Linked DNA regions of Arabidopsis thaliana. The protein of the gene in region 1 interacts with the protein of each later gene in a pairwise test. Each region holds a gene or a part of one and is shown in the gene's direction. Other genes may lie near its edges.

Region 1 (7,080 bases):
AGACTTGAGCTGCGGCGAGGTTTCCCTCCCATTGTCTTGGTAAATCGGTGGGCGTGGGGCTAGTATTTCATCAAAATAGGTGCATGGAATGTAATGTAATGTAATGTTGAATTGCAGGTAAAAAAAGCCAAAGTATACTTGCACCGGGAGATGAAGAAGGAAGATCCTTTTCATAAGAAATGGCCTGGATGTTAGGTAATCCTACAAATAGAGACAATGTTTTGGGTCGATGTAATGTAGCATTCCTCAGAGAGGACATGATGTAATGTAACAACGGAGATGCTTGTTACTGACTTACTGTAATGGATTCAACAAATTCATCCAGAAGCATCATCGGCCTTTGGGCTTTGAGTTACGCGTCACAATTGAATCAATTGGTCCTTTTAATTAGTTTTACCAATATACCCCTCCGTCTTTTCCCCCTTCTCGTTTAGGAAAAAAAATCATTAGCTTCGACTTATCCGAAACCTAACGAGTAACGACGAGAGATGCTTCTTCAGGCGGCGGTGCAGAACCGCAATGTTCCACTGGCTTCTTCCGCCTCCTACTCTCGTCTCCTTCGCTGCAGATCTCCTGTCGTCTCCGTAGCTGCTCTCTCGAAGAAGACGGCAGCAATCGTGTGCTCCATCTCCCAGGTTTATGGCTACGGCACGGTGGACTACGAGAGAAGGCCGATTGTCCAGTGGAATGCCATCTACAAGAAGATTTCGCTGATGGAGAAGCCAGAGCTTGGCGCTGCTTCCGTCTTGAATCAGTGGGAGAAAGCCGGCCGCAAGCTTACCAAGTGGGAGCTCTGTCGGGTCGTCAAGGAGCTTCGCAAGTACAAGCGTGCCAACCAAGCTCTCGAGGTCCGTGTCCTCCTTGTATTTGCCCTCGCTTTATTTTGTATCTTTAACACTACTTACTTGATCGCGTATCGTTTTCATAGGTGTACGACTGGATGAACAACAGAGGCGAAAGGTTTCGGTTGTCTGCAAGTGATGCTGCAATCCAGCTCGACTTAATCGGCAAAGTGCGTGGCATTCCAGACGCCGAAGAGTTCTTCCTCCAGCTCCCTGAGAATTTTAAGGACCGGAGAGTTTATGGTTCCCTCCTCAATGCCTATGTGAGGGCCAAGTCGAGAGAAAAGGCTGAAGCCCTGCTCAACACCATGAGGGACAAAGGTTACGCCCTGCACCCGCTTCCCTTCAACGTCATGATGACTCTCTACATGAACCTCAGGGAGTATGACAAAGTCGACGCTATGGTCTTCGAGATGAAGCAGAAAGATATACGTCTCGACATTTACTCCTACAACATCTGGCTCTCCTCTTGCGGCTCCTTAGGATCAGTTGAGAAAATGGAACTAGTGTATCAGCAGATGAAATCGGATGTTTCCATTTATCCCAACTGGACCACGTTTAGCACAATGGCCACAATGTACATAAAGATGGGTGAAACTGAGAAAGCCGAAGATGCACTGAGGAAGGTTGAAGCAAGGATTACTGGTCGTAATCGCATTCCGTATCACTACCTCTTGAGTTTGTATGGCAGCCTTGGTAACAAGAAAGAGCTGTACCGAGTCTGGCACGTCTACAAATCTGTTGTCCCGAGCATTCCCAATTTGGGTTACCATGCCTTGGTCTCGTCGCTGGTGAGGATGGGAGACATTGAAGGGGCCGAGAAGGTATATGAGGAATGGCTTCCAGTCAAGTCTTCTTATGACCCCAGGATACCAAATCTTCTGATGAATGCGTATGTCAAAAACGACCAACTAGAGACAGCTGAGGGGTTGTTCGACCACATGGTTGAAATGGGAGGAAAACCAAGTTCAAGTACGTGGGAGATTCTAGCTGTTGGTCATACCAGAAAGAGGTGTATTTCAGAGGCTTTGACTTGTCTTAGAAATGCTTTTTCGGCTGAAGGGTCCAGCAATTGGAGGCCCAAGGTGTTGATGCTGTCTGGTTTCTTCAAGCTCTGTGAAGAGGAATCGGATGTTACCAGTAAAGAGGCCGTTTTGGAATTGTTAAGGCAGTCGGGGGATCTTGAAGACAAATCTTACCTAGCTCTTATTGATGTGGACGAAAACAGAACAGTAAACAACAGTGAAATCGATGCCCATGAGACCGATGCGCTTCTAACACAGCTACAAGATGATTTGTAATCTGATAGTCCTAGATCTTTGCTTTAAAAAACGAATCTTGTAACCGGAGTCAACTGAGGAAATGCGAAATATGTATAATGTACACAAGAGACTGCCTAGTGAAACATGAATGTAAGAGCTGTGTCCCTTTTTGTGACAGCTATTTGGAATTAGTGTTGCTTAGGGAACTGGATTAGCCTTTGTTCTCTTGTTTGATTGTTGTTACTTGTTAAGACTAATATTGGAGAGGTTAGGTTGTGCTCTTTTATTTTGGGCCGGACGGATAAAAGGCCCGATATTGAATATATAAGTCTGAGAGTCTCAAAGGCCCATCTCCATTAAGATATCTTCGCGGAATCGGTTGTGAGAGAGAGAGACGGTGATCGGGAAATGTCGACGAAAGGCGCGGCGGCGGCGTACCCTAGCGCGGCTCGGATATCTGATTCTCCATGTTATCTTCAGTACTCTGCTTCTCTCAAATGTGAGTCATGCTCCTGATCTCACCCTTTGTGATTGTTTCTTCGAGGATAGGATTTGACATGTTATCTTCAGTACTGTCAAGTTCCATAACGAATTAGCATTGATTAGATCTCATCTATTTCATTATGCTTCCTCAAGGTGATTAGATTAGTGGGTTGAATCCCATGTCAGTGATTCGATTTAGGTCCCATCAATTGATAACGTCGGGTTTGATTCCTGATTGTTTATGTGTTTCCGTTTTCATTAGTTATGCCTCTTAGCTTGACCCCTTGATTTCTTATCAGGTCTTGAAGAATTTGGATCAGACAAGAGTAAATGCCAGGATCATTTTGATGTGTACAAGGAATGCAAGAAGAAAGAGGTTGTTGTTGTGAATGAATATTTAGGCTTTTGGCGTTTCCAACTTCTTTGCTGCTTTACCTATGTGTTATTTTGTTTCTCAGAGGGAAGCTCGACTGGAACGCAATAAGACACGGTCGTTGTTCTCGTGAATGCAGATCCTCGAATACCAATGATGTCTCAGAACATCACCTAGCTAGTAGTATCCTGTTGTTTCATTTGCAATGGCTGTGTTTGTATGATCTATCTAAGTAAACAAGTGGAAAGTGTTTGTTAATGTTACTTTTTACTCCCCATTGGTGAATCATGGTGTATACCTGTTAAACTTTGAGAGCAAGTGGTTATTTATTTAGTTAGAGAGTTAGAGCTTCTCCACCACCATATTGAATAAGAAGATCTTTCTCTCATTCTTTTACTTTACTCTGGCGTCTGAAACAGATCCAGGGATTCCAGTAGTGAATTGGGCTTAAAAACTGTTATATGGGCTTTCGAAAGTAAAAGGTTCGGTGAGCTGCCAAAGAAAAGTCAGATGCCTTTAATCGCATTTGACGACGATTCTTTACGTGCGCCATTGACTGCATCGTCGTCTTCCTCACGCGATTTGGTAATCCGATTCGTCTTCATCTGATTCCCTCCCTTCCGAGAATAATAATGTACCCGCCACCTCCCTCAAGCATCTACGCTCCTCCGATGCTGGTGAATTGCTCCGGTTGCCGGACGCCTCTCCAGCTCCCATCCGGCGCCCGATCTATTCGCTGCGCTCTCTGCCAGGCTGTTACTCATATCGCCGACCCTCGCACCGCCCCTCCTCCGCAACCTTCCTCCGCCCCTTCTCCGCCTCCCCAAATCCACGCGCCTCCCGGTCAGCTGCCTCACCCCCATGGCAGGAAGAGGGCCGTGATCTGTGGCATCTCGTATCGTTTCTCTCGCCACGAGCTCAAAGGCTGCATCAACGACGCCAAGTGCATGCGTCACCTTCTCATCAACAAATTCAAATTCTCCCCAGATTCAATTCTCATGCTTACCGGTACAGAGTATTTCTATCTTTTCAAATGCCTATGTTTGCTACTATACTACTATTCCTTGGATTTTGAATACAATTTTCCTTGGCCTCTTCAATCTGATAAACACACATTCCAAGTTACCATTTCGAACCACTTTGATAAAAATGTGTTGCATTCCATAGCTGACTAACTAATTGTTCATCATGGATGGTTTTCATTCTCAGAGGAAGAAACTGATCCATATCGTATCCCGACCAAGCAAAACATGAGGATGGCATTGTATTGGCTCGTACAGGGATGCACAGCAGGCGACTCACTTGTCTTCCACTACTCTGGTCATGGTTCGCGTCAAAGAAACTACAACGGTGATGAAGTTGATGGCTATGATGAAACACTCTGTCCTCTGGATTTTGAAACTCAGGGGATGATTGTAGACGATGAGATCAACGCAACCATTGTACGCCCTCTTCCACATGGTGTCAAGCTCCATTCAATTATCGATGCTTGCCATAGTGGTACCGTTCTGGATTTACCCTTCCTATGCAGAATGAACAGGTTATTAGTCCCTCAACCGCTTCTAAAAGGGATGTTGCTTACCTCTCTCGTTATATTTAACATACATCCATTTTTTTTTTTAATTGAAACAGAGCTGGGCAGTATGTGTGGGAGGATCATCGGCCTAGGTCAGGTTTGTGGAAAGGAACTGCTGGTGGAGAAGCCATTTCAATTAGTGGATGTGATGATGATCAGACTTCGGCCGACACATCAGTAAGTAGAACGACTCTAATCATACGTCTTGCTGTTGTAGTTGGTTCCTCCTCTCATGATTAAAACACATACACAGGCGCTGTCGAAGATCACGTCTACGGGTGCTATGACTTTCTGTTTTATTCAAGCAATTGAACGCAGCGCACAAGGCACAACCTATGGAAGCCTTCTGAATTCTATGCGCACCACAATAAGGAATACAGGGAATGATGGTGGTGGTAGTGGTGGAGTTGTGACGACTGTGCTGAGCATGCTTCTGACAGGGGGAAGTGCGATTGGGGGATTAAGACAGGTAAAATTCTTTCTTGCTCTCTTGTGTTGATACAGATCGATAAATGTTTTCTTAAATCTGTTTTTTGACAGGAGCCTCAACTGACTGCTTGCCAAACATTCGATGTCTATGCAAAGCCTTTCACTCTCTAGTAAAGGACAAGTCACTTTTTATGTATAGCGAGTGTGATTTGAGAATCCGTCCATATAACCACCTTTTGTTTCTTATTTTTATTTTTCTTTCAAAAGAATAAAGGAAAACATTGATTTGGTGATTCGATAACAAAATGTGCCATCTATTCTTTAGTCTTTACAAACAAGCAGCAAATGGTTTGCCTTTCAGAATCAAAATTTAAGGTGTTTCTCGAATAGACAGAAGGAAGAGAAGAGAAGTCCCAGAAAGCTGTTCAGAAGGCGCATACAAATCATGTGTGCGTTGCTGCTGCAAGGAAAAGCACTTCCGCTGTAGCAGCCTGTTCTTTGTTTGATACCCCGGCCGTTATCTTCCAGTACAAAGGAGGAGTTTTTCACACCATCGCTAAAGAGAAGACACCAAAAGAAGGTACCTTTATGCAACCTAGCCATTCCCACTCCAACCTCGGTATGCGACCTGTTTCTGAGCACCGACAACGCACTGCTATCTCTAAAGAGAATGTCTGAGAAAGCGACTTCTGGTGCTGCATACTTAGAGCTGCAGCCGAGGATATGGCCAGTTATGGTACCAAAAGTGGGGAGTTCTACACCACAGTTTGGGGCAAACACCTGAGTGAAGTCGTCTTCAGGGTGTTCACAGCTGAGAGTGTTGTTGACATTGCAATTCCCCTCGCAGAGCTCAACATACTGGAGGGCCATGCAGCCAAGACCGGGACTCTCATTTAGTTTGCCTAGTTTCCGAGCTGTTCTGTTCTGGTTCAAGATGCTCACCATTTCATGAGCTGAGTTTCCTGCAACCATTCTAACTAACACTTAGTCCGCCTAAAACGAATCAACATAATATAAACTGTCGAATCTGGTTCTGACTAAAGAAAGCGAACTCGAGATTAAATCAGAGGGAGTGGCTGTAAATTCAAAATAAAGCCTGGCCAAATGCTGAACGAGAAATCCAAGTCTATATTCGCATATGTTATGAGGGGATAAAGCAAGGAGTTACCGTGCAATTTGGAGCTAGCTAGCACTGATGAGAGTGACAGAAACAGTAAAATCAACTCCAAAATGCTGATTTCGTTCTTCATATCGTGTTTTATCCTCTGAATTCCCAGCGTAATAGCTCGAGCTGGCGGATTTTCGAAAAATCGAGAAAAACAAAAAACAGAAAAGGAGAAAGTTTTTGAAAGGAGATGAGCTTGATGGAGATGTTGACTGGTCCCTGAATAAATGAAAAATGTGTTGCATTATTTCTATTATTGAGAAGAAAAAAACCAGGCATTTTGGTTATTGGGCTTTGATTTGATGTTGGGCTCTCAACCATTGAAATTGAATGAAGAAAGAAGGAAAGTACGTGACTTGAATTTCATTTACTTCATTAAATGGGCGGCGTTGGGGCCGGTGGAGGTGGGCCAATGACATTGATGTGTAAACAGAGGTAAAGCCGAATTTTGGCTAAGGCGAATCAATGCCCATTGGCTCCTCTCCTTACATATTTGAAGTTTGAGGTTTCCTTCCTTTTCTTAAATTAAATGTTGCTGTAACATTTCTACTATTGTAAACCGGGGCTCCACCACCATGTGCTTCTTCAACACTGTATCATCAGAGCCCACATGGTCATGCCTCTATATAATACTTTGTATTATTATTATTCTTATGTCACATTATAAACAAGTACCTCCAAATTGCACTTCCTTCAAACTTATTCGACAGTAGACTAGCTCAAGTACCTTTGGATGGCGTCGAGGCCCGGAGCTCTTACGGAGTGGCCATGGAGTCCCCTTGGTAGCTTCAAGTACCTCTTGGTGGCCCCGTTGGTGATGGCGAGCATGCACTCGTACGTGACGGCTGTGGATGAGGAGAAAGACCTCAGCAGACTTATGATAGTCGTGTTGATGCTGTGGAGAATAGTTCACAGCCAGATATGGATCAGCGTGTCTCGCCAGAGGACGG
Region 2 (7,461 bases), on another chromosome or scaffold:
CACACACTAAAACAAAAACTAACTCTGACCACAAAGTCATGTTCTATTCCTGTTTAAAGTCTCTATGTTGGATGTATACGTAAGACATCTTTTTTCTTGACAAGTTGCTGCTCTCTTAAAGTTGATTCTGTATGTCCCCTTCTATTATTAGTAAAAATCTAAAATATCGTTTTTTGTGTGTCACTTGAGATATGTATTGAATCTCTAAATTTTAAAGTCTTTTTCTAATTCCCATATATACCTTACCTATTTGTTTTCTATTTATACTCGAAAATAAGTGTGATGCACGATCTAAAGTTAAGTTAAATGAAATGAAGAGATATGATACAAACCAGTGGAGATATTCTCGTTGGTGAGGGTTGCTTGGACTCGGCACATCTGGATCCACCATAACCTTTATTAAACCCATCAACAACCGTATAAGAGAGAAGATCGATTATGAATATATTAAAGCAATCAAGAAATTAAATCATGAGTTTGATTTTTTTTTTTTAACTCTTGAAAAGTGATAACACACATTAAGACGAAGAAGTTAACCAAAAGTTAATAGAAAAAGAAGTAAAGACGAAGAAGCTTAAATTAGAAAAAGGTAATAGTAACATTTTCCATTAATATAAGGGTATCTAAAAATACTGGCTTTACTATTCAGATTCAAAAGTCGTTAAAATAAGTGTCAATTAAGATATTTATGCTTTTCTAAAGGTATGTATCCTAGAATAAAAAAACTAAAATAAAAATAAAAGCGAAACAAAATCAAGTTAACCGTCTCTTGAAAACGTAATATATATAATCGAGAAAGATTCAAAATTGATTTAAAATAATAATCAAACCAATAACAGTTATGCATGCAAGAAGTTAGAGGAAACGCAGCAGGTATATAGATGAGGCTACGAAAGAAAAGAATGATCAAATCTAGTTACGCTTAAATTTGGATATATCTAAGGTTTCTTCGTCAATATATGGAGCTTACGAAAACGAAAGAGTGAGCTACGAGGAACTAAATCAATGAAGATAAGAGGAATGAAGGAGAGAAGATCACCAAGGTGTAGAAATTTCTGAAGTCGTCTCCTCCAATCTCCACTATTGGTTTGTTCAGAACTTGAGAAGGCCTTAGATCCAAGCCATTAGTAACCTCTCTATGGCCATAAGTGACCTTAAGAGAGACCAACCTCGTGAAAGGATCAAGAACATCTCCAACAACACTGCCGACCACAAGAGGATCTCTACGACTTAAAGACATATTTATCTTGGATCTCAAGTATCTCAATCAAATGTTTTGCTTCTTACCTTATGAACCCTTACTTGCTATTCTTTATATAACGTTTTGGGAATTGCAATAATTAGCTATTTAGCTTTATTCTCTCCAATGAAATCATTACCAGGGTCTTTTCGTGTATAGTTTCGAGAATCTACAACTCGTTCAACGTACGTATATCACTTATAATTCATGTTTTTTTTTTCTTTCCTTTTTTCTAAATTTATAGTATTCTTATTCCAAAACCCACCAGTATAAAACAGAAATAATCATATTCCAAATTATACATCATCCACTTGTTTCTTGCTAGCCACTAGTATGTAATTTATTCTGACTTATCATTGTAACTTCATGAACTATTTAAAATAATGTCACAAGCATATAATATGCTGCATATTTGCGTACGTCACGCATTTTGCGTCACATGTCACTCATTTAAATAGTTAAGGACACTACATTACACCGATTATGTATGATGTTAATGCATTTTAGAATAACTCCTTCAACCTAAACCATCATATAAAAGTATATATGCTCCAGATAAATTGACGCCATAATTGTTCACATATCTGGTTGGTGTGTACATACGTACTAGACTCTTTTTTTTCTTTTCTTAATGTAGTACTAAACTTAATTAATACCATCAAAAATATCAATTTAACAAAACAAACCAGTAAAACTTTTAAAACAATGGAGTAAATCAAATAAAACAAGTAAATTAACAAATAGACACAAGGTAACAGAAGTATAATAACGACAGAAAAGTGAACAATTGGCCAAAAAATTCGTTTTCAAACGTGATTTCAAAATTGTCTCCAAATCTTAAATGTTGATAAAGTAATTTTTTTAAAATTCATTATACCTTTCAAAAACAAGTGTATTACCTAAAAGCTCAACCGTGTATTCTTACACTCCAAACAAATTTAGTTCCCCAAGTTTGGAAGACAAAAATTTCTAAGAAATTTCTGACAAAACACATGAGAAATAAACCGATAAAGACTTCTAAAAACTATTGCAGACCAGTTTCATTTGCTGACCACAAAAAGTCATGAGAATACAATTAGCTCAGTGATTCTTGATATTTCTGGTACCTAACAAAAAGAAAAGTGTGTGAGGTTAGATGGCTATGATTTTTGCTCTCCAATTTATTGTCCATTTCCCCAATTTGTAATATGAAATGCGCAAATTACTCTTCTTCCGATATGAATAAGCAAACGAAAACATACGTGGGACGTTATGTTCAGAACATTTGATTAAAGTTTATATGCGATTTTCATTTATTTATTATGAATTTTTTGTTTGGCAGCATGTACGATTTTTCATTTAACACACAAATATTATAGAATTTTCATTGGTTCAAAGGGGTAGACAAAAAATAATTTAATATTATTACACCATTTGCAGAAAATTAGAAAATATATTTTTACCCATAATTAATTGATCTATGGACGTATGCTTGGCATAAAAATTCATATTTAATTAGCAGAAGCCAATCGCTGCGTTTGTATATACGCGTTTATGACCGAGAAAAAAACCCTTACGCGTCATGTAAAAAAAAAAGAAGCGTAAATTACGAAAAACAGAGAGATAAATCCGGGCATTGAGATTTTGGAGATAGAGAGAGAGAAAAATCGAAATCTATTGTCTATCTCCTCAATTTGGATTGGATTTTCTGCATATCATCGCTCTAGCTTTCGCGGGTTTTGGATTCGATTCCTTACCCTTCTCCAATCGGTAAGAACAAGCTCCAAAGTTTGTTCCTTTTTTTCAATTTTCGCCAATTCTGTAATCTCATCATTGTCCTTGTTTGTTTGTTTGATTCAACACACAATTCTTGTTTTGATTTGGATGCAGAAGTTTTTGGCTTTGAATTGGATTTGGGTTTCGTTCCAAAATCAGCTCTTTTTGTTAATCAGGTGAGTTTTTAGGTATTTGAATCTCCAATTGCTTCCTTGCAATGACTAAGTATTGTGAAATGTTTAGGGTTTCATCTGTGTGGGTCTTGTTTTGAAGCAATTTGTGTGTGTTTGGATGAAAGTAGCAGATATGCAGGACCAGCTGGTGTGTCATGGTTGTAGGAATTTATTGATGTATCCTAGAGGAGCATCTAATGTGCGTTGTGCGTTATGTAACACTATCAACATGGTTCCTCCTCCTCCTCCACCTCACGGTATCGATTTCTTTGTTGAATTTGAATTGAGGATGAGGTTAATATGCTCTGCAATTGTATTATAACTTGGGTTCTGATTCTGAATACAGACATGGCACACATTATATGTGGTGGTTGTAGAACAATGCTTATGTATACGCGTGGGGCTAGTAGCGTAAGATGCTCTTGCTGTCAAACTACGAACCTTGTGCCAGGTATATTAATAATATCGTGACATCCATATCAATCCTTTTAAAGACCATGTATTATATTGCTTTATAAGGTCTTTTAGTCCTTTAGAATCTTCTTTCACACTTTTGTTTGATAACATTGTTCTGTGGAGATGATGCTTACGTAACGTATTTCCACTTTTCCCAAAGATGTATATGAATCTGAATTCTGAAAATATCTGGGATTTGTAAAGCAGCTGAAAGTACTTAAAACAAAGCTTTTAGATGGTCCCGGTGGACTAGGTAACTACTTGTTAGAGCTAGTAGGGTTTATTATTGTTTTGTTTGATCTACCATTAGATTCTTATCTTTAATTAGCGTCTAAGCTGTTGTCATTTAGCTGTATGATTATCATTTATCCATGACTGCTTAAGAACATTGCTGATTACTTCGTTCATTAGTATTTCTTGGATTTTTCTAGCATTAACATTGCTTGTTTTCTGAATCTGTGCGTGTCTTTTTTGAAATCGACAGCGCACTCCAATCAGGTTGCCCATGCTCCTTCCAGTCAGGTTGCGCAGATCAATTGTGGGCATTGTCGGACGACCCTCATGTATCCTTACGGTGCATCATCCGTCAAATGCGCTGTTTGTCAATTCGTAACTAACGTTAATGTGATTATTCCTATCTATTAAGCCACCTCTGCATGGTTGAGTTAAGTATAGAGATCTTTCTGTTGGAAATTTTCATTTCTGATTCATTTTGCATCCTTAGATGAGCAATGGAAGGGTACCTCTCCCAACTAACCGGCCAAATGGAACAGCTTGTCCCCCCTCTACATCAACTGTGAGTTATCAAATTATGAATTTGTAATAGTTCTGTATATTCTTATGGAACTGGTACTTACTCTGTTCATCGATTTTTCATTTTACCAACAGTCAACACCACCCTCTCAGACCCAAACCGTTGTTGTAGAAAACCCCATGTCCGTTGATGAAAGCGGAAAGTTGGTGAGTATTTCTATCACCTGTGTTCTTCTTCTTATTTACCACATTAGAGGAAGATATGACAAAGTGACTGAAACACACAAATTGCAGGTGAGCAATGTTGTTGTTGGAGTGACAACTGACAAAAAGTAATCAAGAATGAGTGAGATCTTAAAGATCAAATCCAAATTCTTCCTCTATTCCTGCGTTTGGTTTGTGCATATTACATACGCGGAAAAACTGTATGTTATATATCTCTTGACTCCTTTTTAACCCAAGAGAAAAAGCTTATCAGAATCTCTTGTTACTGCATTATTGGGGTTTATTCAAAGTTGAAGACACAAGGTTTTTGCTCGAATAATTTGGCATTCTTTTGCTCCATGGAACTTGACCTTCTCTTCTGTTTGTTGACTTCTAAAACTCCATCGGCCCTTGTGGCATTGTTAATGTATGTATGAATATAATCTGATACACCAACCAATCATTAAGATTTGGGTTTGAAATCTGTCTCTTCCGTGGATGAGATATGCTACATGTCACAAGAACTGGTCTTAGCTTTGGTAGATAAGACTTGTCTTAGAGCAAGTCTTGAAATCTGGAAATCTATTTTGCAGTAATCTTGTCACAACAACCATAACCTAATCAGTCAGTACCCTCCAAGAACATTAAAGTTAGATGATCCGACAAAACCTCTCAACAAGACCAAACTCTTTCCATATAAATACTCTTTAACACTGACACAAAGTTTCATCACTTTCTCTTGATCACTCACTGCATCAACAATGGCCAGAGAGAAGATTGTGGTGGCTGGTGGTACCACAAAGAGCTGGAAACTACTCTTGGGGCTGAGAATATTTGCATTCATGGCTACTTTAGCTGCAGCCATTGTAATGTCACTAAACAAAGAGACAAAGACCTTGGTTGTGGCCACCATTGGTACTGTTCCTATTAAAGCCACTTTAACCGCTAAGTTTCAGCACACACCGGCTTTTGTGTAAGCGAGTAAAACCCTATACGAAATCGATTCGATACATATTGAAAGCAAAATGTTTTTGAGTTATTAACATTGATTCTTGGTTTTACAGGTTCTTTGTTATAGCTAATGTAATGGTGAGCTTCCACAACTTGTTGATGATTGTGGTTCAGATTTTCAGCCGGAAACTGGAGTACAAAGGTCTTCGTCTCCTCTCTATCGCCATTCTTGACATGGTATAAACATTGGTTTTCAAATCAATTTACTGGTTTGATTTCAATTGAATTAGTTTGAACGTTTGGAAAAAAAGCTAAACGGTTTCTTGATAATCTAAAAAAACGTTGGAAAAAAAGCTAAACGCAACACTAGTATCTGCGGCTGCAAACGCGGCGGTGTTCGTGGCAGAGCTAGGGAAGAACGGAAACAAGCACGCCAAGTGGAACAAAGTCTGCGACAGGTTCACCACTTACTGTGATCACGGCGCAGGAGCAATCATCGCAGCATTCGCCGGAGTCATTCTAATGCTCCTCGTGTCCGCCGTCTCTATTTCCCGCCTCTTAATCAATTCTAAAAACTTCTCCACCACCGCCACCACAACCTCCGTCGTCTAAAACATCGTGGCCAAAAATTCAGCAACATGTGTGTGACCATTTTATAGATGTTGTGGCTTACTTTGTGTGTTTGTCTCTCAAGTCACTAGCAAATTGTGTAATGCACTCCTTTGTTCTATCACTTTCACATTTGTATTCAAGTTTTCATTTCTCTCTTATCTTTTTATATAATTCTAAAATGACAAAAAAAAATTCACAAAGTATATAGTACATTGAAACAATGAGAAAAATCTACAATAGATGATTAGATAAGACCAATTCAAGATAATTTATACCTTTTATTTCTCAACTACTTCTTCTATTTATGGAAATATAATTCTAATCAATTGTTAGTTTTTTACATTAAAATGAATTATATCAACCGACTAAAAAACAAATCAGTATTAGTTCTATCGCATTGTAGTTCCCATACAACTTAATTTTTGTGTTGTAAATAATGATCCTACTGTCTCTAATAAATGTGAATCAATAATCATAACTATTGAAATCCTTTTCTTTTTGGTTAGTAAAAATGAAGTGTAAATAGTATAACTGTTTAATTTAGTTCAGATATACAAATCAACAAAACTACTTAATTTGAAGATTAATTCAGTTTTTTTTTTTTTTTAATTTTCTGTTTATAAAACTACTGAATTTTATTTGGTATAAATGGATTGAAGATTTTATTACAAAACAAAATCACATTTGGCGGCTTCTTCTTTTTATGTTCTAAACCCTTTTCTTAGATCGGACTCCAAGAAATCTACTTGCTTTAATCGTTAACCTAATAAATTCTTCTCTAAGTTTTTTTTTTCTTAACTCATCAAAGAAGGAAAGAAAAAAAAAAACCTCTTTCACAGATATTTAACCAAAAGGTTTTAGATTTATACTATACGTTACAAATAAAATTCGAGAGTCAAATTCAATCTTGGGAAAAGCTTTTGTTCCGAATCTTGGCCCCTTCACGAAGGTACACTTATCATCTCACTCTCTATTTCCAGACACAAATCTATATGCGTTCTGGGTTTTTTTAGGGTTTCGAAAACGGCACTGCATTTCATCAAGTAAGGGTTTGTTTTTTATTTAACAGATCTTTGTTCTTCCTTAGGTCACGGGTTAAAAGTATCGATCTTTGTGAACTTAATCTCACTGTAAATGGATCAGCTTGCATCTCTAGCAGAGTCTGTGGCTATGGAGGTTTCTCATCTTTATCCTTTTGCTTCTTTGATTTGTGTTTTTTGCTTTCTCCTCCATTTGTAACCTCTAATTTGCATGTTTGCTAGATTCAATTAGCACTGTTGCAGTTTCTGAATGTGGAATTGTGTTTATTTCTTGCAG

What was found.
Region 2: the proteins of MC1 (region 1) and LSD1 interact in binary tests that used the Arabidopsis thaliana proteins (3 or more experiments, as listed by UniProt).

The regions. Positions count from the first base shown.
Region 1 is NC_003070.9:408,291-415,370, forward strand, and holds MC1 (metacaspase 1), read left to right. Parts: upstream 1-3,373; 5' UTR 3,374-3,592; coding exon 3,593-3,968; intron 3,969-4,169; coding exon 4,170-4,500; intron 4,501-4,592; coding exon 4,593-4,713; intron 4,714-4,789; coding exon 4,790-5,005; intron 5,006-5,076; coding exon 5,077-5,136; 3' UTR 5,137-5,264; downstream 5,265-7,080. Other genes in the region: ALG12 (homolog of asparagine-linked glycosylation 12), read left to right, coding at 1-39, 118-195; AT1G02150 (Tetratricopeptide repeat (TPR)-like superfamily protein), read left to right, coding at 489-848, 929-2,143; AT1G02160 (Cox19 family protein (CHCH motif)), read left to right, coding at 2,513-2,603, 2,887-3,071; AT1G02180 (ferredoxin-like protein), read right to left, coding at 5,329-5,927, 6,134-6,215; AT1G02190 (Fatty acid hydroxylase superfamily), read left to right, coding at 6,864-7,080. UniProt on the Arabidopsis thaliana protein: Cysteine protease that cleaves specifically after arginine or lysine residues. Does not cleave caspase-specific substrates. Acts as a positive regulator of cell death.
Region 2 is NC_003075.7:11,001,726-11,009,186, forward strand, and holds LSD1 (LSD1 zinc finger family protein), read left to right. Parts: upstream 1-2,791; 5' UTR 2,792-2,989; intron 2,990-3,109; 5' UTR 3,110-3,171; exon of another isoform or gene 3,172-3,286; coding exon of another isoform or gene 3,287-3,301; coding exon 3,302-3,425; intron 3,426-3,514; coding exon 3,515-3,619; intron 3,620-3,704; coding exon 3,705-3,736; intron 3,737-3,831; coding exon 3,832-3,877; intron 3,878-4,108; coding exon 4,109-4,248; coding exon of another isoform or gene 4,249-4,269; exon of another isoform or gene 4,270-4,348; coding exon 4,349-4,420; intron 4,421-4,512; coding exon 4,513-4,584; intron 4,585-4,671; coding exon 4,672-4,713; 3' UTR 4,714-5,063; downstream 5,064-7,461. Other genes in the region: TSF (PEBP (phosphatidylethanolamine-binding protein) family protein), read right to left, coding at 333-394, 1,040-1,240; AT4G20390 (Uncharacterized protein family (UPF0497)), read left to right, coding at 5,343-5,554, 5,646-5,769, 5,887-6,144; JMJ14 (JUMONJI 14), read left to right, coding at 7,279-7,320.